4 linked regions of the Coturnix japonica genome follow. The protein of the gene in region 2 binds, or shares a complex with, the protein of the main gene of each other region. Links are inferred from orthologs where the notes say so. Each region holds a gene or a part of one and is shown on either strand. Other genes may lie near its edges.

The links.
Region 1: SF3A1 (region 2) and SF3A2 share a complex: the UniProt entries of both Homo sapiens proteins name them as parts of the SF3A subcomplex of the 17S U2 SnRNP complex. The link is inferred for Coturnix japonica from reciprocal best matches to the Homo sapiens genes SF3A1 and SF3A2.
Region 3: SF3A1 (region 2) and SF3B1 share a complex: the UniProt entries of both Homo sapiens proteins name them as parts of the 17S U2 SnRNP complex. The link is inferred for Coturnix japonica from reciprocal best matches to the Homo sapiens genes SF3A1 and SF3B1.
Region 4: SF3A1 (region 2) and DDX46 share a complex: the UniProt entries of both Homo sapiens proteins name them as parts of the 17S U2 SnRNP complex. The link is inferred for Coturnix japonica from reciprocal best matches to the Homo sapiens genes SF3A1 and DDX46.

The regions. Positions count from the first base shown.
Region 1 is NC_029543.1:1,223,921-1,229,908, reverse strand, and holds the start of SF3A2 (splicing factor 3A subunit 2), read left to right. Parts: upstream 1-2,494; 5' UTR 2,495-2,551; intron 2,552-3,373; 5' UTR 3,374-3,424; coding exon 3,425-3,550; intron 3,551-3,955; coding exon 3,956-4,027; intron 4,028-4,346; coding exon 4,347-4,393; intron 4,394-4,996; coding exon 4,997-5,106; intron 5,107-5,741; coding exon 5,742-5,791; intron 5,792-5,935; coding exon 5,936-5,988. UniProt on the Homo sapiens protein: Component of the 17S U2 SnRNP complex of the spliceosome, a large ribonucleoprotein complex that removes introns from transcribed pre-mRNAs.
Region 2 is NC_029530.1:9,662,983-9,668,321, reverse strand, and holds part of SF3A1 (splicing factor 3A subunit 1), read right to left. Parts: intron 5,289-5,339; coding exon 5,138-5,288; intron 4,689-5,137; coding exon 4,495-4,688; intron 3,849-4,494; coding exon 3,731-3,848; intron 3,615-3,730; coding exon 3,429-3,614; intron 3,072-3,428; coding exon 2,950-3,071; intron 2,789-2,949; coding exon 2,546-2,788; intron 1,841-2,545; coding exon 1,630-1,840; intron 848-1,629; coding exon 693-847; intron 36-692; coding exon 1-35. UniProt on the Homo sapiens protein: Component of the 17S U2 SnRNP complex of the spliceosome, a large ribonucleoprotein complex that removes introns from transcribed pre-mRNAs.
Region 3 is NC_029522.1:44,767-49,115, reverse strand, and holds the end of SF3B1 (splicing factor 3B subunit 1), read right to left. Parts: intron 4,120-4,349; coding exon 3,847-4,119; intron 3,388-3,846; coding exon 3,171-3,387; intron 2,197-3,170; coding exon 2,038-2,196; 3' UTR 1,715-2,037; downstream 1-1,714. UniProt on the Homo sapiens protein: Component of the 17S U2 SnRNP complex of the spliceosome, a large ribonucleoprotein complex that removes introns from transcribed pre-mRNAs.
Region 4 is NC_029528.1:2,452,937-2,458,275, forward strand, and holds part of DDX46 (probable ATP-dependent RNA helicase DDX46), read left to right. Parts: intron 1-811; coding exon 812-929; intron 930-1,431; coding exon 1,432-1,597; intron 1,598-1,890; coding exon 1,891-2,042; intron 2,043-2,325; coding exon 2,326-2,439; intron 2,440-3,012; coding exon 3,013-3,178; intron 3,179-3,442; coding exon 3,443-3,563; intron 3,564-3,920; coding exon 3,921-4,096; intron 4,097-4,533; coding exon 4,534-4,655; intron 4,656-5,339. UniProt on the Homo sapiens protein: Component of the 17S U2 SnRNP complex of the spliceosome, a large ribonucleoprotein complex that removes introns from transcribed pre-mRNAs.

The sequences.
Region 1 (5,988 bases), on a different chromosome or scaffold from region 2:
TGCAACAGCACAGAAGCAGCAATCTGTCAATACTGAGCCCTCCTGAGAGGGACAGCTATGAGCACTGAGCTGTGGGCCGGCTGCTTTTCCTGCCCCTCTCTTCATACACAGCCGTGCCCATCATACCAACAGGCAGACAGTGCCATCCCAGGGCTGGAGCTTGGCAGCTCTGCACCAACCAGCAATGGATGGGGAGGAGGGTTGGGAAGCACAGATAGAGAATGGGAAAAAGCAGGAAGAAAGCAGGAAACGTTTCCTTCTACCGAGAGCCATTGCGAGGGGAATGCAAAGGGAACAAAGATACAGAACTCACTGATGGAGAAAACGTTCTCCTCTTCTTTGGTGATCCTGCAGTGCTCCAGCAGCAGCGCTCCAATGGGCTGGAAAAGATAAAGAGAGGGGGCTCAGCACACTCTGTCAGAGCTACAGTGTTCTGAACCCATGGAGCTTACAGAGTGTCCTCTAAAGAGTCTCTGTGTGCTCACAATCAATGTGGGTTTGAGTATTCCTTTCTGTCCCGCAAAGGCAGCGATAAAGTTTACTTCCTTGCAGAGTAAATCGAACAAAGATAAACTGTTTAACATTTGACTTCCTAAGGGCGGCCTTCGAGCTTTGCAGGAGGTTAAAGAACAGTGTGTGTGGATGAAGAACAGCTCAGGACAAGGAAGCAGTTGTAGGGACAGGCTGCCAGCCAGCACATACTGAGCAAGGACATGAGAACCACAGGGTGGAATGAGCCACAAATGAAAACCTCTCGCTTTTTGTTTAGTTTGGACATAGGATTTCAATGGGGGGTTGACTGTGAATCAGGCAGCAGCCGTTGGTGCTGAAGCACCTGTTTGAGGGCCAGTTTCCAGTGCATCAGTTCTACGTTGGCAGTTACCCACAGAAACAAGAAAAGAGCATTTCTCAGCACAGAGCTGAGCCGTGATCGGGGTTAAATATTCATTATAAAGGTTATTCTGTGCTGATTCAGGATCTTTAGAACAGGAGGATCTTTAGCAGCCTCGGTTTTATGTGAGGTCTGTAACTACACGAGACAGAGTCCAGCTTTTGCTGCTGTAGGGCGATGGTTGTGTTTGTAGAAAGCAGCAGGGTGTGGTTTGCTGGCACTGCTTCTCCTCACCCCCACCGAGGAGCCTGAACTGTGCAGGGGGAAGGGAGGACGCCGTGTTGCACTGATCCACAGAGCACACGTGATAAACGTGAAGCAAAAAGGTGCGTGTGTGTATCTGTGTGTGTGTGAGGAGCAGCAGGATCCGAACCTCAGCTTCATCCGTCCTGAAGTAGAAGAGAAAGTTCACCACGAGCTTCACGAGGCGCTTCTTTAACACTGAAGAAGGAAAGGAGTGATGTGACAGCGAGCCCAGCGTGTGTGGGGCCCCCAAACCATCCCAGCACTCCCAGCATCTCCATTTCCATCCCAGTGCTTCCACCCCAGGACTTCCATTGTCATCCCAGCGCTCCTATCCCAGTACACCGTTCTGATCCCTGTGCTTCCATCCCAATACTCCCATCCCAGCACCTCCAGCTCCATCCTAATACCCCAATCCCAGCACCCCCAGCTCTGACCCAGTACTCCCATCCCAATACCCCCAATTCCATCCCATTACCACCATCCCAACACCCCCAGCTCTATCCCAACACCCCCATCCCAATACCCCCAGTTCCATCCCATTACCCCCATCCCAATACTCCTGTCCCCACCCCAACACCCCCAGCATTATCCCAATACCCCCATCCCATTACCCCCATCCCAATAACCCCAGTTCCATCCCATTACCCCCATCCCATCATCCTATCACCCCAACACCCCCATCCCCATCCCACCCCCAGCTCATATCCAATACCCCCATCCCAATACCCCATCCCAAACAAAACCCCAGCTCTGCCCCAGCACCCCCATTCCAACAGCCCCATCCTAATACCCCCAGTTCCATCCCAATACCCCCATCCCAACACCCCCAGGCTCTATGCCAATACCCCATCCAATACCCCAGTTCCATTCCCAATACCCCCATCCCAATTACCCCAATTCCATCCCTTACCACCATCCCAACACCTCCAGCTCTATCCAACAACCCCCATCCCAACACCCCAGCTCTTGCCCCAGCACCCCCAATTCCAACAGCCCCATCCCAATACCCCCAGTTTCCATCCCATTACCCCACCCCATCCCACCCCCACCCCATTACCCCCATCCCACACCTCAATCCATCACTCCCCATTCCCACCCCCAATTAACCCCCCCATCTTCCACCCTCACCCCCTTCCCACCCCCCCCTCTACCGCTGCCCCTTCTTGGGGACCCTCATCATGGATCTCTGCCGCTTTCTCTGCCGGTTGCCTGGACAGGACAGCAAGCTCCCGTTCGTTGTACCTCATGTCGGACCCCAAACGACCACCCCAACCCTACAAACCACCCCTAACCCTACAACCACCCCAACCCTACAACCACCCATACCCGACCCGGTAGTGCTCTATCCGGAACTAGAGGGGATGGAAGGGGGAGGGCAGAGCGCATGCGCCGGGAGCGGGGCTGAGCACGGCGGTATGGGGGATTTAGGGGGAGGGGATGTGGGGCTTAAAGGGGGGATATGGGGGAGTGAGACCCTCATTGAGGGGATGGGGTGGTCTGGAGGGGGGTCTTGGGCCCTGTGGGGGATTGTTTCGGGGCAGTGACCGTCGCTAAGGGAATAAGGGCCTGTGGGGCCTATAGAGCCTGTGGGGCCTATGGAGCTTATGGAACCTGTGGGGCCTGTGAGGCCTATGGAACCTGTGGGGGCTGTGGAGGCTGTGGGGCCTATGGGGCATGTGCAGCCTATGGGGCCTATAGAGGCTGTGGCATATGGGCCTATTTGGAGCCTGTGGGGCCTATGGAGCCTGTGGGGCCTATGGAGCCTGTGGGGCCTATGGAACCTATGGAGCCTGTGGGGCCTATGGAACCTATGGAGCCTGTGGGGCCTATGGAACCTATGGAGCCTGTGACCTGCACTGGAGAATGAGGGGGGTGAGGGGGCTTAGAGGGGTTCTTAGTGGAGGGACAGGACCCTCCAAAAGGAAACTGGGGGGCTATAAGTGGCATGGAGAGTTCGGGGGGTGTTTGTAGGGGGCTTTGAGGTGAGCTTTGGTGCTCGCTGAGGGAATGGGGGTGTTTAGAGGGGGGTGAGGGGGTGTCTGGGGGGTTGTGACCCCCATGTTAGTGGCTGGGGGGTGTGTGACCCTGTGTGAGAGGGTAGAGGTGGGCTGGGGGTGGTTTTGTCTCTTGCTGAGGTAATGGCAGTGCCTGGGCCGTGTCCTCGTGGCAGGGCTCAATGCGAGGCCCAGCTTAGGGCTGTGTTGTCACTTATGTGTCTTTTCTTCATTTTTCCAGACTTTTATTTTATTTTTCTCCTGAAGTCTCCAAAGCCCAGAAATCCCCACCATGGATTTTCAGCACCGTCCTGGAGGTAAAACGGGGAGTGGAGGCGTAGCTTCAGCCTCAGAAAGCAACCGAGACCGCAGGGAGAGGCTTCGGCAACTGGCTTTGGAGACCATTGACATCAACAAGGTGAGCCCCAGTCCTGCAGGCTACATGGGGTGAGGTCAGGGCTTCATCTCAGCAGAGAGTGAGAGGTTTAGTGGGGATCTGTGGAGTGGAATAAATACTTCTGTTCCCACTGATGAGGGACTCGAGCAACATGTGGAAGGGCCAAGCAGAGGGATACCAGCACTGGGCTTCTGTTATGTTCAGTCTTGGCACTGGTTCTTATTATGCTGCAGTTGGGTGTGCTGTTACCAGTGAACACAACTGCTCTTGTTCCTTTTTCTCTATATTCCTAAAGCAGTGTTGTGCTGATCCCTTCACTCCATGAGCTCATAGAGTTCTTACAGTGCAGCTCTGCTTTAGAATCTCGGTTGTTCAGTTGTTCCAATGCAGATTTTACATGTAACTTTTCAATCCTTCTCTTCCTAGGACCCCTATTTTATGAAAAATCACTTGGGTTCTTATGAATGCAAGCTTTGCCTGACGCTCCATAACAATGAGGTGAGTTGAGCAGCTGTCTGTCTTGATCTCCATGGCAGCAGATATTTTAGACTAATTCTAGCTCCAAGTGCTGGAACCGAAGCTGTTCCCGTTGGCTGATTGCTGGAGGGCCAATGGGGGGAGCAGAGGCTGTGTGTGTTAAGCATGACAAGTTTCTGACAGTTCAGCAGTTGTGAGCAATCTGAAATTTGTGAGTTTGATTCTGCTGTGCTCTGAGGATTAAAATATCTTTGTCAGTGTGAAATGTCACCTCTCATCTGTGACAAATATCTTTCTGTTCAGGAACAGTTCAGTCTTCATAACTTTCTTTTCCCCCCAGGGAAGTTACCTGGCACATACGCAGGGGAAGAAGCATCAGACCAATCTGTAAGTCATTCTCCACCGTGTTATTCTCCATTACTTGGGCACATTAAAATTAGATAATGAGCACCTATAAATCTTGGCCTCCATCATGTAGTAGCACTCTGGGCTTGAATGCTCTTTGTCTCTGTTTGTTTCCTAGGCATTCACCAGCTCTGCTCTGAACAGTGGTGCTGACAAGCTCCACTTCAAAGCCAGCTATGGCATTTAGATTAAGTATAACTGTAAGGGAAGCTGTTTTATGAATACAGCTTGAGAAAAGTTTGTAAGCTTTAATCTAAGAATTCAGGTTTGCTCTGCTTTAGATACCTGGCTTGTGTAATTCATTTCCTTTTTGACTTTTAAGAAGTCATCTCAGCTCCATCTGTGGAGCTGGACATCAAAGTCCTCTTAGGAGTGGGTGAGGTGATGGAGGTGACAGATTGTAGTCAAGGCAAGGAGTGGAACTGGCCTCCCATGGTGCTTGTGGAGGAGGAGCAGCAGTTTCCCATTATGCTTTCTGTGAAGTGCTGAATGCTCCGTCATACAGAACTCACTCTGCCTTTTAGAGTATCCTTCAGAACCAAGTGCTGATAACCATTTAACACTGCGCGTTTCCAATGAACCCAGGGCTCGTCGAGCTGCCAAGGAAGCAAAGGAAGCTCCTGCCCAACCTGCACCAGAAAAAGTCAAAGTGGAAGTGAAGAAGTTTGTGAAAATTGGACGACCAGGTTACAAAGGTTTGTCAGCAGTGCCTGTCATAGCAGATACCCCGTGGCTGCTGGAGCTTGCTTGAAGTGCAGTGCTGTGGGCATGAATTGTTCATCAGCCTTTTTAGCAGAGCTATCCATAAATAAGATATGGGCTTATCTCCTGATGTCCTTTATTGTTTAAATTACCCATGGGTTGTCTCTTTATTGCTGACAGTCGAGTGAGAGCCATTTTAATAATAGATCAGTACGTCTCAGTCTCTGTCAGTTCTTACTGTAGTCATATGGGAGATGGTGGCATTGCTTCAGTCTCTCTTTCCCTTTTATTGTGCTCTGCCATCTCTATTATGGCAGAGCAATATACTATTGCTCACAAGTCACCCACTGGATGTATAACTCAGTTTTTTTCCCCTCTGTTTCATTTTGGCCTTCAGTACAAGACATGGCTTCTTTATCTCCATGCATATTGTGTCAGTGTCTGTGCCCCACAGCAGCTGCATTTCAGTAGATACCCTCAGGAACTTTGGCTGAAGGCATTGTGGCATTTTATTTAATAAATAGGAAACAAAATCCTGTCATGTTTTGCTGTTTGGATCTTCCTAGGGCTGAAGTAATACTGTACTGACCTTTATGTAGTGTACTGAGCTTTCTTATTTTCTCTATAGTGACCAAACAGAGAGATCCAGAGACAGGCCAGCAGAGCCTTCTCTTCCAGGTAAGATCAGATTCTTGGTTTCTGGGTTATCCAAGTAAAAACGTGGCTAAATGAGCAGTCAGAAGCTTCCCTTGAATTCTTGCATAGCTGAAGAGTTTGTTCTGTATGGAGGAGTGTTGTAAACCTGCCATAATACCCCAACAGATCGATTACCCGGAGATCGCAGAAAGCATCATGCCTCGCCATCGCTTCATGTC
Region 2 (5,339 bases):
ATGTTGGGGACCTGGACTTTGACTGTGACTGGGCCCTACGGGAAACAAAGATAAGGTCTTTCACAGGCAAGGAGTCTCAGGACTGCGATAAGAGCAGCAGACAAAGTATTTACAGACCTTCCCAATATTAATCACATATCTTGAAAGTCAGAGTATTTTGCAGTGAACACGGTGGTACTAAAGAGATGGCTTCATAATGCAAACAAATGCACAGGAGAACAGTGCTCCCTTCTTAAAGGGCTTAAGACCCAACCCAACATGATGCTGTTACTCAGAAAGGAATTCAGTCTAACATTTCATTCATGTTACGGAAGATATTACATTGCCATACTACCATGTTGACATTGATATATTAAATCTCCTTGCACCTCCAGCTTAACAGTCTTCTACTTAAAAGCTTATCAGCATTATCTCTTCTTTACATTACTATAACCCTACTTCTCACTGCTGTTAATTACAGAACAGCACCATCTGTGTGCAGCACTACATCGCTCCTTGTAGTAAAATATAGGGCAGTTCAGGTATGACAGTAGGAAGGAGCCATCTCAGCAAGTCACTTTCTTTTGAAATACATCAGCTCCCCTCTGTGTTCTCAATGGACTTTACAACCCCTCTGAGCACAGGAGGCTGAACAGCTCAGCAGGGCCAGGACTCCACTTCTCAACAAGCAGAGAGTTCACTCGCACACATACCTTGTTCCTGCGCAGAAACTCCTCCTCTGGAATCAAGCTGTCCTCGCTCTTCAGTTTCTTTGAAACTGGCTCATCCTCCATAGGTGGTGGTGGGTGAACAGGAGGCATTGGCGCTGGGGAAGGAACTGGAGCCACGGGAGGTGCTGGAACAAATGCTGGAATGGGATGAGGGAAAGCACAACACACAGTCATCCACTGAGCATACAGCAGATACTCCCTTACACGAACTCTTTTAGCAGACTAACAAAGACTGAAAATAAATGTTGCCATTCATGCAAGAAGTTAATATAGCCTGCAGTACCATGCGAACTTCAAACATAAGATCTTCCACAAGGGGAGAGAGTCCAGGAAAAAAAACAACAAGCAGAATGGGAGCTTCCTGCAGATCTTGCAGAAAAGAAAACGCTCTGAATTTAGCAGCCAGCACCTCAATTTAAATAAAAAGGAAAAGGGAAAAAAAAAACCAAGACAGAAGTGTTTTTATGTTGTGCTTAACTTAAAACCACCACAATGCTATGCAGCCACTACAAAGAACAGAGCCAGAGCCAGATAACAGCTTTTCCTCTGGCAGCAGTAACTTCCCTAACAAACTGTAACACTCAGTGAGGTGTTGGCAGATCCACTTTACTCTGGTTCCTCTTGGAAAGCTGCAGGGATTTGTAGTGTTCACCCAATCAGACTCCCAGGGACACCAAGATAAAGCATCCCACCAACAAGACTGAACTCCCACACTCGAGCAGATGACAATCCCAGAAGTCATGCTATAAGGTAAGTCACACTAAACATTAAAAAAAAACCTTAAAAGATTATATTTATGGTTTGCAGTGCCAATTATACACCACTATTACAGACACAAAGGGAAAAAGGAATCAAGCCTCAAGCCCACGCCAGACAGGAATCAACTGACAATTAACTGGAAAGAGCTGAAGTCACTGACCCGTTGGTACTATCATGGGAGGTGGGCGAGGGCTCATGATGGGAGGAGCAGACGGCGGCATGGGGACAACATTGATCCGTGGGGTGTGGATTATTGGTGGCATGGGGGTGGCTATGACAGACCCTGGAGGCAAACGGACCACGGAGGTCATCGGGGGACGAGGCATGACAGGAACAGCAGAAACAACAGCAGCACGAACAGGAGGAGGCATCTGCAGAGAGAAGGTCATTTTATCTTAGCAATTGCACGCAGGAATGAGCATCCCAGTGCTGCCCACAGTTCTGATTAAATTAAAATCACCAGGGCAACACAGTGAGGATTTCTACCAGGCAAAGGCCTGCTGGGAGCCTTAACAAGCCCACCGTATGGCCAGCCTGAGCCTCCTGCAAACAGGCACAGAACCTCATTAACACATCAAGCAATTCTTCCTCCTCTCAGCTGCAGGGACTGTGAGACATGCAGCGATCTTAGAGAAAGAGTTGCAGCAAAGCCCTTACTCCAGGAGAACACGGGCAGTGAGTCATCAGTGAACATTTCTTATCTGCCACTTCTTAGTTTTTCTGCCTCATCTCTTTATTTTTTTTAAATGTTTTAAAAAAGAAAAGGTCCCAATCCATTCATTTGTTAGCCATACTTCCCTCTCCCAAGGCATCACCACCCAGGCTCTTCCCCTGTGCAACCCATTGAGTCTTCTTGATACAGCTAAGGATTAATAACTCCACCTAGACCTTATTTTCAGTTTTTAACTGCAAGTTTAATAAGGATCCTACGAAGGCTTAAGAGCAGTTTGGAATACTAACTTCTCCCAACATCTGTTTCTAGCCAGTACACTGCTGTAACTGTGGAGCTTTGTCAGGACTTCCTTCCAATTATCCATGCCCACAGCTGCTTTACTTATGGAAGCCCCAGCACTTACTGTGGGTGGACGAGGCACAGAAGTGATAGGCTGAGCACTCGGAGGAGGATTCGATGCCGATGAAGGAGGGGGTGGCTGGGGCATTTCATTGGGTTTGCTGGGACCAATCTTCTCCTTGCTGTCATCTTCTGGCACCAGTCCCTTGGCCTTATGGATAGCTTCAATTTGCTCTTGAAGAGTAATATTGGCTTGAGCAGCCTGTTGTGTGCGGGCCATGCTGCCTGAGTGGCCATCCCAGGTCACCTGTCAGGATAAAAAAAACATCAGAGCAATCCCAGCCTGGGCAGACTATAATGAGAACTACAGAGAGATCAGCACAACAGTTTTACAACAGTAGTAAGGTCTAAAAGAATCCTGAGCATTCGTAATACTACAAGAACCTATTAAAGCAGTTTCCACTCTACCTTTTCCTCTGGTTTCTGAATTTCCTCTTCACCAATCTTCTTACCAATGGCAGTTTCTTCCACACCAAAGATATCGGTACGGCGCTCTGCCAGCTGCTTCAAGCTGCTTTCAATATCCAAACCTGCAAGCAAGAAGAAATTCTTCCTCTAAGTGATAAAAAGAGACTTGATCCTTGACTATATGATCTTTAAAACTATTTGCTACCTAATGGCCTAGAGCTCCTCTTTTCAGAAAGGGACTGCAACTGACGACTGGCCAGCAGCAGCTAATGCTCTGCTCTTATCTTTGCAGAAAGGCTTTGATGTACTAGCAACAAAAGTATCAGGATAATCAGAACACTAAGGACATAAGACAGAAAGCTACATTTAAAACAGTCCCTATCAGCAGGAACTCGGGGGAGAGGAGACACACTAAAATGTTCACAGAAGGAATTTAGGATGGGGAACTCGCAAGCCTTGTCAATGATGCACAAGCTGACCTGGGGCATAGACCTCGTCGTCACTCTGTTTTTCACGGATAGACCGATCGCGCTGCTCCAGCCACCGAGGATCCAGCAGACCAATTCGCATGTGCTCTTGCATTTTACTGGCAGGGATTTTCTCCCCAGTGATGGGGGAAACAAGATACTCATCTGGAGCTGGGGCAGGCGGTAACGGTTTTGAAGCTGGAAAAACAAAACCACACTGTTAAAAGCACACCACCAGAAAATGCAGCCTAGAAACAAACGCCTTTGTGATCATTCGTTAAGAAATACAGCTGATCTTTGCCAGCTTGATTTACCTTTGGGATCGTAATCTTTCCGCACAATGACCTGATCTGGTGTGGGAGGAAGAGGTGGTGGCATTGGAGTTTCTGGAGGAGGAGGAACTTTCTGACTTTCATCTTCATCATCTGAACCCTGATTTAAAGAAAGAAAATCATAACCATGCTCCAGTAGTCAAAAAGCCCCATAAAAGACTTGAGAGCACCATAAAAAATCCTATGCAAAACCACAAGGACTGATTATGCAGCTTCAGAGTAACTGAGCTATTTCGCCTCTTGACACCTCTACTACAGTGGTTCCTTTGGTAATCACAAACTCAAAAATTAAGCAGACCCAAAAAAGGAAGTAAGTAAGCCTCAGCTTCCACATTACCACAGCATGGCAAGCCAGGGCTTACAGTTAGTCTCAATGATCTTGTTTCTTGCTAACAGAAAAACTGATTATATGCAGTGGTTAAAAGGAAGAGTCTGAAATGAGACATCTTTTCAACATTCCAGACCCTAGTGTGTAAGAAAATTTAGAAGACTGGATGACAGAAATAACCTCACATCAATTCACCGGGTGACTGAATTCCCAGATTTCTCTTGTAAATTGTATTGCCACAGAGAATATTAAATACACCATATTCCAGTATTTCAGCAGAAACAGGTCATTTTTAAACTCAATCGGAAGGAAATCTCAATTCCCTCAATATACTGAGCAACGTATTATAATGAAGACGTAATAAACCCCACACAAATCTCACAGGGCAAGAATAATGCCAATTCTGTTGGCTACCTACCTCATCCATATCCTGCACTTGCGTGTCTTGATCCAGCTGGGTTGGAGGCTCATCTGTTTTCTCTTGTTTTTCATCTTCTTCATCTGACTCCACCTCCATCTCTACCTCTTCACTTTCCCCAAACTTCTCATAGCGCTCCTGGATGAGGATTCGAGCTCCCAGCTCTTCTGGAGTGGTGGGAGGTGGGAAATTCCCTACAGTGCAAAAAACACAGCTTTTGTTTCTTGGTCCCATTTGATTGCATAATGGGAAGACAGAAGCACCAATTTCTTGAGAAACAGTTTTTGGTTTCGTTTTGTTGTTGGTTTTTTTTTTTTTTAGCCATTTTAGAGGCATATAGTCACTCTGTTTTAAACTCTGTCCAGACTAACACTATAACAACAGCTGGAGATGAAGACATTTATAGGTGAAAGCACCACCAGAATATGGGACAAGTTTTGCTGTCCCGCTTCAAGATGGAAAAGCAGACACTGCCACAGAATACTACTTGATTCCAGAAGAAACTCAGCCCTATCCCATCATTAGGAAGCTATCCTTTCCATTTTGAAGGCTACACAGCTGTAAAATCCCATGTCTTCCTAAAACCAATGCTCTGCTCAGAGGAAGTACAGTTCCAAGAGGTTACAATGCCTGTCTTCAGTACCTTGCTCGTTGGGCTGAAAGTCCACTGTTTCCACAACCACAAAATCATGCCAATCAATCTGAGCATAAGCAACACGCTCCTTCTCCTTCTCTTCCTCTTCCTTCTTTCTCTCTCGCTCCTGGAACTTTGCCCACTCCACTCTGTAATACACCTGTACAAGCAGATTCAGAGCTAGCACCAAACGTCACACCAAAAATACACA
Region 3 (4,349 bases), on a different chromosome or scaffold from region 2:
GGAGCAAAATGAGAATGGTCCAGCAGTGACACAGTGGACAGTGATTTGTACTGGGAAAGGACCTCTGTCCCCGGATGGATGGATACCACGTAAATACACATAACTAACTTTAAGTAAATCCAGCTAGAGCTATCCCAGTCTCAGTACCTTCAACTCACTGCTATACAAAAAGACCAACAGGTCAATATCCCCATGACAGCATTGTGGTAAAAACTCCTCACTTCACTAAATCCTCTTGGCCTCTCAAGATAATTAATTATCTCAAGATAATTCAGATAATTAAGCGATGTAAGAAACCCACTGAAGAAAGCTAACAGTTTTCTCAGCACCTGAAAAGGCAGCTTCAAAAAAGGAATGCTAACAGAACCTCACAAGGATGCTCCTGGTTTAACTGCGCTTATCTCAACTGACTTGCTTCTTCCAGAACGTCCAAGGCTCTTGTTCATTGCTGGTGATAAAGCAGAGCTAGCGGCAGTGACTCTGTTCAATAACAGCTGTTTGTAGCTGAGAATGTACAGTATTTATTGTGCTCTATTTCGGCTTATCTTGTCAAAAAAGGTGCTTTATTTCCACCCTTCGCCCTCTCCATTGGCACTTACCCTGTCCTATACTGCAGAACTACTGAAGAAGCAAAGGTGGTGGGACATCTATAAAATAAATGGAATTATTTAGTGAGAAAACACTACTAAAACTGGAGCAAACAATTCAGAGAACAATTAATTCAATCTTTATGTAGGATGTATACCACTACTACAGAAAAAAATCAGTTCCTAACAAATCAGTACCTTCATAAACAACCAAGCTGCCACCACTCTGCACCCCCATCTCCAAACAGAAACGTAGGTCTCGAGAGGTAAGGTGGAATTCCCTTATATGCTCAACAATCTCACATTCGTGTAAGAGAGGTCAGCTGGCAACACTGGTGAGATGGAAATTAATTGCCCAACTTAAAAACAGACAAGAAGAATACACCTGGTATCCAATCACTAGTATTCGTTGTGTTCTCTTATGGACATGAGATACTATCCAACACCACCAGAATGATGGAGCCTTGTGTTTTATGTGGCATACCGTCAAGTAGCACCATGTCCTTTTTCTTTCTCTTGAGTACATGCACAGGAAAGAAGGAAAAGAACAAAGAAGGACATGAAACTTTTTTTATCTCAAGCCGATGAGATTCACGTTCTCCATGTCACATACGCACGCTCTGAATTTGTCTCACCTCAGGTGCCCAGTAACTTTCTTCACTCTTCAAAGGAATCACAGCACAGCCTATAAGCATCACTTGGCATTTTATGCAGCCTATCTGTAGCTACAAGAACTTATTGTGATTGCTGAAGTCATACAAGTGATTTCACACACTACTACTACTACAAATGAACCCTACATCCAGGGTAATTGAGGTCCCTTCCAACCCAGGTCATTCTGTGATTCTGTAATGCAGAAGCAGCAGAACCAACAAGCAATTCACTACTATTTTTTCCAAGAAAACAAACTGCCACCACTACAACTGCCAGCCCGAGTACAGCTCAATTATGGCACGACAAAGATACACACGTTAACTACAGTTTGGATATTTTTCTTATTTATTCAAAAGTTAGGGGATGACAAAAGGGCTAAAATGCTCGACGCCACCTGCTTATTACATGAACAAATACTGAAATCCATCAGAGACTCGTTTGACAAGCCTCTCAGTCCAAAAACCACACACAAATTAGATTTTATACACAAATGTTTATTTCCCAAATAAACAACCCCTTTAAACACAAGGAATGAAACCTAAATCTTCATAAAGATGAACGAAAAATGAAATCCCTCCTGTATACTGTAATCACTGTTTTCTTGGTCACTACTGGCTTTAACTGTTTAACATCAAAAAACAAGGACATATTTAAAAAATCATGCTACTGGATTCCTACCTCTGTCTCTGACCAGTTCTATACTCAGCTCCAATACTTTAAAACTTTACATCATCAAATCTGAAGCATTTATGTGAAGAACAGCTGTGCATTAAACACAAACAACAGAACAAGAAGATTATAAGATGTAGTCAAGTTCATAACGAATATAGGTGTTCTTTTCATCGTTATAGATCCTTGGATAATGTGCTATCAGAGCATCCTGTGAGCCAATGTAGATGGAATTATAAATCTTCCAATAAACGTCTCTGACTTTCCGGGCAGGGTGAAACAAACCCTAGAAAACAAAAAAACACTTAATCAAAGCCTCCATTCTAAAAGCCTGTTAGTGCTTTTAACCACGTTTTAAACAAGAACCATTTGAAAAGCACTGTGATAATACTTAACCATCAATTATTAGGAACAAACCACAATAAACATGTAACTATCAGTTTTGTGAGCACATAAACTAGCAAGTATTAAGGAAACATTATTTCGGAGACATTCCTTTCTTTGGTTTTTGTAGGGAGAAATTGCACTGGATCTATTTCTAACTGTTACACTCAAATACACAGAAAAGGAGCCTGCACATTCTACCTCCATGAATGCATTCACAGAAGCTGGAGAGACGAGCATGGATGCAGTGGTATAAATTGTGATCCAGGCACCATTTTCTAACACTTTGCCCTTAAACAGATTTAAACATCTTACTGTTTTCTTTGGCTAGAAAAACATAACATGGATCAAATATCAATCCTATCCTCTCTTTAATAATGCTGCTCGTTATTTGTTCTCATCACACCTTCTGCACTAATAATTTATTCCCCCAATCATTATTAGCTGTCCTCAAATTTGCATGCTTCTATTTCACAAGTCAGAGCCAATTTTTAGTCCCTTTATATTCTAACTCATTTGCTACTTCTATGCTGCTATTTCTATGCAAGTTTCCCAGGACAATCTGTTATCTCACTAAAAGAAAAGAAAGCAGTTCTCATTGCATGTTTCCATTATCAAAATCCTCAGCACAGAACAGCATGTTAAGAGATGAAAAGCCAGACTGTTTTCCTTTACTGGAAATCTCCTTCAGCTGACTTCTCATCTCCTAAAGAGAATCATAGAATGTTTGGGTTGGAAGGGACCTTTAAGATTATCTAATTCCTCCCCTCTGCTATAGGCCTCCCTCTAGAGCAGGTTGCTCTAAGCTCCCTCCCATCCCATATGCTCCCAACAGGTGACAGAAGCCTGTTTGGTAACTGCTGCCCAAGCACATACCTGCAGACAATACTGCAACATTCGGCAAGGGCCAATAGCAACTCTGAGGCCCTCCAGAGCCCCCATGACAGCCTGAATGACGTGCGGAGAGGTTTCAAACACATTAGGCCATACGTAATTTAACAAATGATTAAGAGAATCTTCGCAGCCAAACCCATAAACACCAAGAGACATGTGCTGCACCACAGCACTGGCTGTTTGTCTGTGTACAAGATCTCTGAAAAGAAAACAACGGTGTGTTAGTAAATCAAACTTAGAAGCAACAGACCTGGCCAAGCATCATGATTATTTTCAATTACATTATTTTCAAAGCATCGATATATGCTTTTAACACACATCTACTGACACTAAGAGGCAAAGTAACCAAACACAGATTAATTCAAAGGACAGTTTTCTGGCCATTACTGCGCTATAAACTCTGTAGCAAGGGGACTAACAGAAATGATTAAAAGTGGTTTTAACACAGCAAATATCAACTAAAATGGCTTTACCGTTTTCATCTTCAAAAGAGTTAGCAAAATAGGAGTATATAACCTGAATTATTTGTAATAACAATGTTTGTTACTGAGCAATTTTTAGCCAACAAGGACAAAGAGATTATTTGCTGTTAAGACCCAGTTACATATTTAATGTGACTGTGCCTAACTGGACCATACGCAGAAAGAATTGCACTCACCTGTCCATTAAAGCATCTTCAAGCAATGGCGTAACGGCATAAATATAATCTTTTCCCATCTCTCCAATATACTCAAACAGGAAAGAAAGAGATTTCAACACGCCATTCTGGACATTCAGTTCTGGAACTCTGTATTCATTCATGAGTGCAGGCAGCACTGTGAAAGGTGAGCATGTTTCAGCTACAATAGCAATGGCTACAGTAGTACATACTCTGTTCTGCCTTTCCTGTACTTTCAAGTTATTCAGCAGTGTAGCCAAGACATCGTGAGGTCTGGAAGAGAAAATACGTACACATACGTCAATATATTTGATGAGAATGCAGGTAAATTAGTTGACACTGAAACAGAAAACAGCGCAAGAATGCGGCTTAGCCCTTCAGGAAGTCCCTGAGGAACACCATAAACCATAATATAGCAACAGAGAAAAGCAAGCTCAAGACATTTCTTTTTAAATCACCTATTTTTTATTAAGAAACCAAAACACACCAACTCTCTCTCTAAA
Region 4 (5,339 bases), on a different chromosome or scaffold from region 2:
AGTTCTAACAGCAGTCTGGATAGAGAACAAGCAGGTTGACAACAATCCAGAAATTATGAGCAGCTGGAATGAGTCTTTCAGGATAATCATATGGCTGGCATTAGAATTAATCTTTCAGTGGGCTGTGAAGTGATCTCAATGAGATTTAATTGGCTAAAGTGAATTTTACATTTATTGTTATGAGCTAGCAAACATTTGGTTCAGATACGTTTCTTTTTAATAGGAAACATGTTATGATAACAAAATCTGTGATAAGTGGGTTTTGTTTTAAATGGAAGTCTGCATGTTGCATACGACAAGTACTATATATATAAGTACATATAAGTACTGCTATAAGTAGCTTTTCCCAGATAGAGGTGTTTCAGTGTCCTTAAGGCAGTAGTGTGCAGAGGAACATTCAGACTTCCATAGCAGGAAGCAAGATCACTTTACCTTCTCCTAGAAATAGAAGAAACAGGACATTTTTAGTATCTCTTTTTCAAAGTGCTGCCTTCAAGGAGGTGTAGAATAAACAACAGAACCACAGTACTGAGTGTTCTGTACTGTAAATGCTGCTGCTTGGCCCTGTGAAGAAATGAGAATAGAACCAGAGCATGTGAATGAGTGAATTGCAATAGGCTGTGCATTTCTGGCAGGTGTAGGGCATGTTTCCATAAAGCAGAGAAAGATTCTCTAAAGAGATAATGTGCACTTCATAAGATGTTTGAAAACACAGCCCCATTCAGTGTGTTCGTGGTTTTGTTTCTATCCAACACGTTTATTCCCCCGTGAGAAAAAAATGTTTTAAGAAATCTTTGCTGTTACCTTTCAGATCAAGATCTAAAGAAAGGACAGAAGGTGTGGAAGTTTCCAAAGAAAAGAAAAAAGAGAAAGATGACAAGGAAGAAGAGAAGGATAAAGATGCTGGTGCATCTACTGTGGCCACTGAGGTAGGAGCTCTGAGGATAATCTTCTAACTTTTAAATGTATAAACAAGGAACTGAGGTAGCCATAGATTACTGTATTAACAAAAAAAAAAACTATTCTCAGGATTGGCCAAAATCCCTGCTGAGTTAATGAGTCCCACTCTCTTCTATAACTCCTGTCACAGGGTGTGCTTCCAATTCTTGCCATTAGTAACATTCTGTTTCTACTGTGCTGTCAGCAAGGGCTCCCCATGCATAGATGGGTCCCTTTTTTTGTTGTTCTTGAAGGATTATTACTTACAGAATTGTATACGTGCTACTGTTGTGAAAAATAAAACAGCTGAGTTTTGTATTTTAAAGCACTGTAGCTGCTTTTAGTGTTTTTTGTTTACTCCTGTTGTGATAGGTTTCTGTATGCCCATGGATCAACTTGGTGCTCAGTTACATTTGTTTGGAAAGGCTTTTTGACTGAAGAATAGACAAATGCCAGTGGCCATTAATTTTCACTGGTTGTTTCTTGCCATAGAATTTTGATCAGAACAAACTGGAAGAAGAAATGAGAAAACGAAAAGAAAGAGTGGAGAAGTGGAGGGAAGAGCAACGCAAGAAGGCAATGGAGAACATAGGAGAACTGAAAAAGGAAATTGAGGAGATGAAACAGGGGAAAAAATGGAGTTTGGAAGATGATGATGGTATTTTGATTTTAGATGTAACATTTAAAACACGTTTGTTCCTGATAATATTTTTATTATCTTTAAAGCATTTAAAGACTTTTCAAAAAGTGAACTATGAAATAGCAAAGCCTAAACCTTGTCACGGCTTCAAACATTTTAAGGTAGTGTTGAGATTAACAAATTTGAGAGATTTTTTAATGAAGAAAAATGATACAGTAATAAAAATGGACAGTAATTATTTGGGCAGGCTAACAATGTAACATAGAGTTATTTCCTCTCTGTTTTATTCCTGTTTTTCTTAATCATATTAGATGATGATGAGGAAACTGCAGAAGGAGAAAAGGAAGGCAATGAGGTTGAAGATGAAGAATTAGATCCTTTGGATGCTTATATGGAAGAAGTAAAAGAAGAAGTCAAGAAGTTCAATATGAGAAGTGTGAAGGGTGGAGGTGGGAGCGAAAAGGTAAAATTGAAAGTAGCTTTGTGTTTCAGTATGGAAATGGTTTTGGAAAAAAGAAGGGAAGAAATAGGTTAGATCCATTCAGTGATTGTTTGCCTTGAATTTTCTGATGTTATTAATAAGCTGATAGCAATATCCTCATAAAATTTCACTGCAAGAGATGTATGAAAAAACAGTGTAATATGTTCATAAGTAGAAATATTCTGTATATTTCATACAGCATGTCTTTTATGAGTGATGCAATGATTTCTATTAACTTTTTTTCTTTTTCTTTTCTTTTTTGCAGAAATCTGGACCAACTGTTACCAAAGTGGTAACCGTGGTGACAACCAAAAAGGCAGTTGTAGAGACAGAAAAGAAGAAAGGGGAACTCATGGAGAATGATCAAGATGCAATGGAGGTAATGGAAGTGTCTTGTGAGTATGTATGTGGCAGCTCAGCCTGCATGTTCTAATACATATCTAATATGAAATAAATGTTTTCTGAGGGTTTGCATTTCTGTTTCTTTTCTAGGTAAGTATAAATATGTTTAATTCCAAATGAACTGTAAGTTCCAGGTCTCAAAACTCTTCTTAAACGATAATTCTTTATTTATTTTGTGTCTGACAAATTAGTGGCATGTAGTGGCATAGTAGCTATTCTATACACTCAAATTATTATTTTTTAAATACTGTTCTCTTAATATTTGTACTGTATAGCTATGATTATTTCTGAATGACGGGACTGTTCTAGTTAGTATTTATAAAGTCATAGAAGTGATATGGAACAGTGAAAGTTAAGGTTTGGAAGAAATATGAAATAAATTGATGAGCAAATGATATGGGCTCCTCTCACAGTGAGAGCAGATTTTCAGTATCCAGTTTAATGGGCTAAGAAAAAGCTTTTGCTTCTGAGTCAAGTTTCTGTATAAACAAGTAACAGCATCTCAGAATGTCATTCACAGTAACTTAAACACTCTTAACAATCTATACAGTATTCTTCAGAAGAAGAGGAAGTTGATCTTCAGACTGCCCTGACTGGCTATCAGACCAAGCAGAGAAAGCTGCTAGAACCTGTGGATCATGGAAAAATAGAATATGAACCCTTCAGGAAAAACTTCTATGTTGAAGTACCTGAACTCGCTAAAATGACACAAGAGGGTAAGTACAAGTATGAGCAGAACACATTCTAGTGTGCAAGGAAGTAGCAAATTCTGATTCAGTGTGGAGTGCTCTTGAAGGAGCAAAGAAGTGCTGTACAGCTCAAGTCTTTGGAGTAATTTTGTTGAGAATTTGAATGGGAGAGGGGATTCTTTTTGAGCAACAGAATGAAAATGAGTCAGATCCCTATTACCGATAACCCCATGCTATCTCAAGGTAGCAGATGTCATGTTTGACTCTGTTCTAATGCAAACTCTGTTTCAGAGGTGAATGTGTACCGACTGGAGATGGAGGGAATAACAGTCAAGGGAAAAGGCTGCCCCAAACCAATAAAGACCTGGGTTCAGTGTGGTATTTCCATGAAGATTCTTACTGCTCTCAAAAAGTAAGCAAGCGATGTACAACCCAAGTCATGCTTGGTTTTGTCTACTCTGTTCTATCATACATATGTTAGTGAGAAAAACGTTCTTTGTTGCATAAAGCAACGTGTCCATGTCTGCTGGTGTTACATGTTTAGTCCTCAGTCATTTTGCAGTCAGTATTAAACGGTTGTTACAAACTGTTCTTTCAGCCATTTGTATCATGTGACTGCTCATTTTTAAGATGTTTTTAGAGTGACACCGATGCTTAGAAGTAAATAAGAACGTGCACATTTCTTCTAGCATGACTGTGATATATGTCCATCAAATCATATTTTGATCTTACAATCTCTTTTTTTGACGTTTCTCTCCCCTTCTTTAAGACACGGCTATGAGAAACCCACGCCCATTCAGAGCCAAGCTATCCCAGCAATTATGAATGGTCGCGACTTGATTGGCATTGCTAAAACAGGAAGTGGAAAAACTATCGCCTTTCTATTGCCCATGTTCAGGCATATTATGGATCAGAGAGCTTTAGAAGAAGGAGAAGGTCCCATAGGTACAAAGCTCTTGTTTTCAGAATTGCTATTTAAGTAAACAAAAGCTCGTTCTTATGCTTTGGAAGGTTCTTCAGTTTTTCTCTTGTTTGTGGGAGTGAATGCTTGCTGTTGCTATAATCCATTAATGAGCACCATGCTGTTTGTTGTTGCTTGTGGTCACTCTGCTATTTAATGCTGTATTAAGAGCACTTGCATATCTGTATCTCTGCAAGGGAGGCCTAGATTGATTTTGAAACTTCAGCACATTTTCTCATGCTGTCATAGCTCTCTTTCTTGAAATTGTATCTTTAAAATAATAGATATTAATACGCTTGGGAGCGAGCTGCATATATTTCACACAAATGCTTTGAACTTCATTACAAAAGCTTATTTTTTATTGCTTAAATAACAGCATTCCTTATATTGCAGCATATGATGGATATGCTTTGCATTTCAGCTGTCATTATGACACCTACTCGTGAGTTGGCCTTGCAGATTACCAAGGAGTGCAAGAAGTTCTCAAAGACCCTTGGACTTCGAGTTGTCTGTGTTTATGGAGGAACAGGAATAAGTGAACAGGTATGTGTTAGACATACGTTACTTGTCAAACAGCTGTTGGACTTCTTGTTAATCAATGCTACTTTTGAAGTGGATATAGTTAGTTCTCCTTCCCATAAATTCCATTATGTTTGCAACATTTATTCTGAACTTTCTCTGTATGAACAGCACCAATGTAAAAGGTTAAATGTTTGCATGTAACTTAGTTCTAAACGTAGCAATATGTTTGAAAATTCTGAAAAGTGGTCTTTAATATTTCAGACTGTTTCTTTTTATATATGCACCGAGCATAACGATAATTAAACTACTTTTGAGATGTGGTAGTTGGACAATGAGGGAGAAGCTGTATTTTTATGGGTATTCCCCTCTGGAGTTATCTCAAACAAGAGCCAGAATGTTGGCGTTGGTTGGTTGCATTACCAAATACTGCATGTCGGTGTAATTTGGAGATTAATTTCTGGGTTATTTTTCTACTCCACATTTATGGAAATTTGATCTTTTGGTTGCCTGTGTGTATTGGAACATGGCTTTTAAACACTGTGAATGGATCATGTGTACTTCCATGACACACAGTATTTCACACAGGTTGTGAACTGTAGTGAAAGTCCTATCCCCACTGTAAGTTCTTGAAGTGAAAGTAACTTAGTTTGACAGAGGTCACTCTTTTGGAAAGCAGTTTTTATGATTTAAAGAAATTCAAAAGTT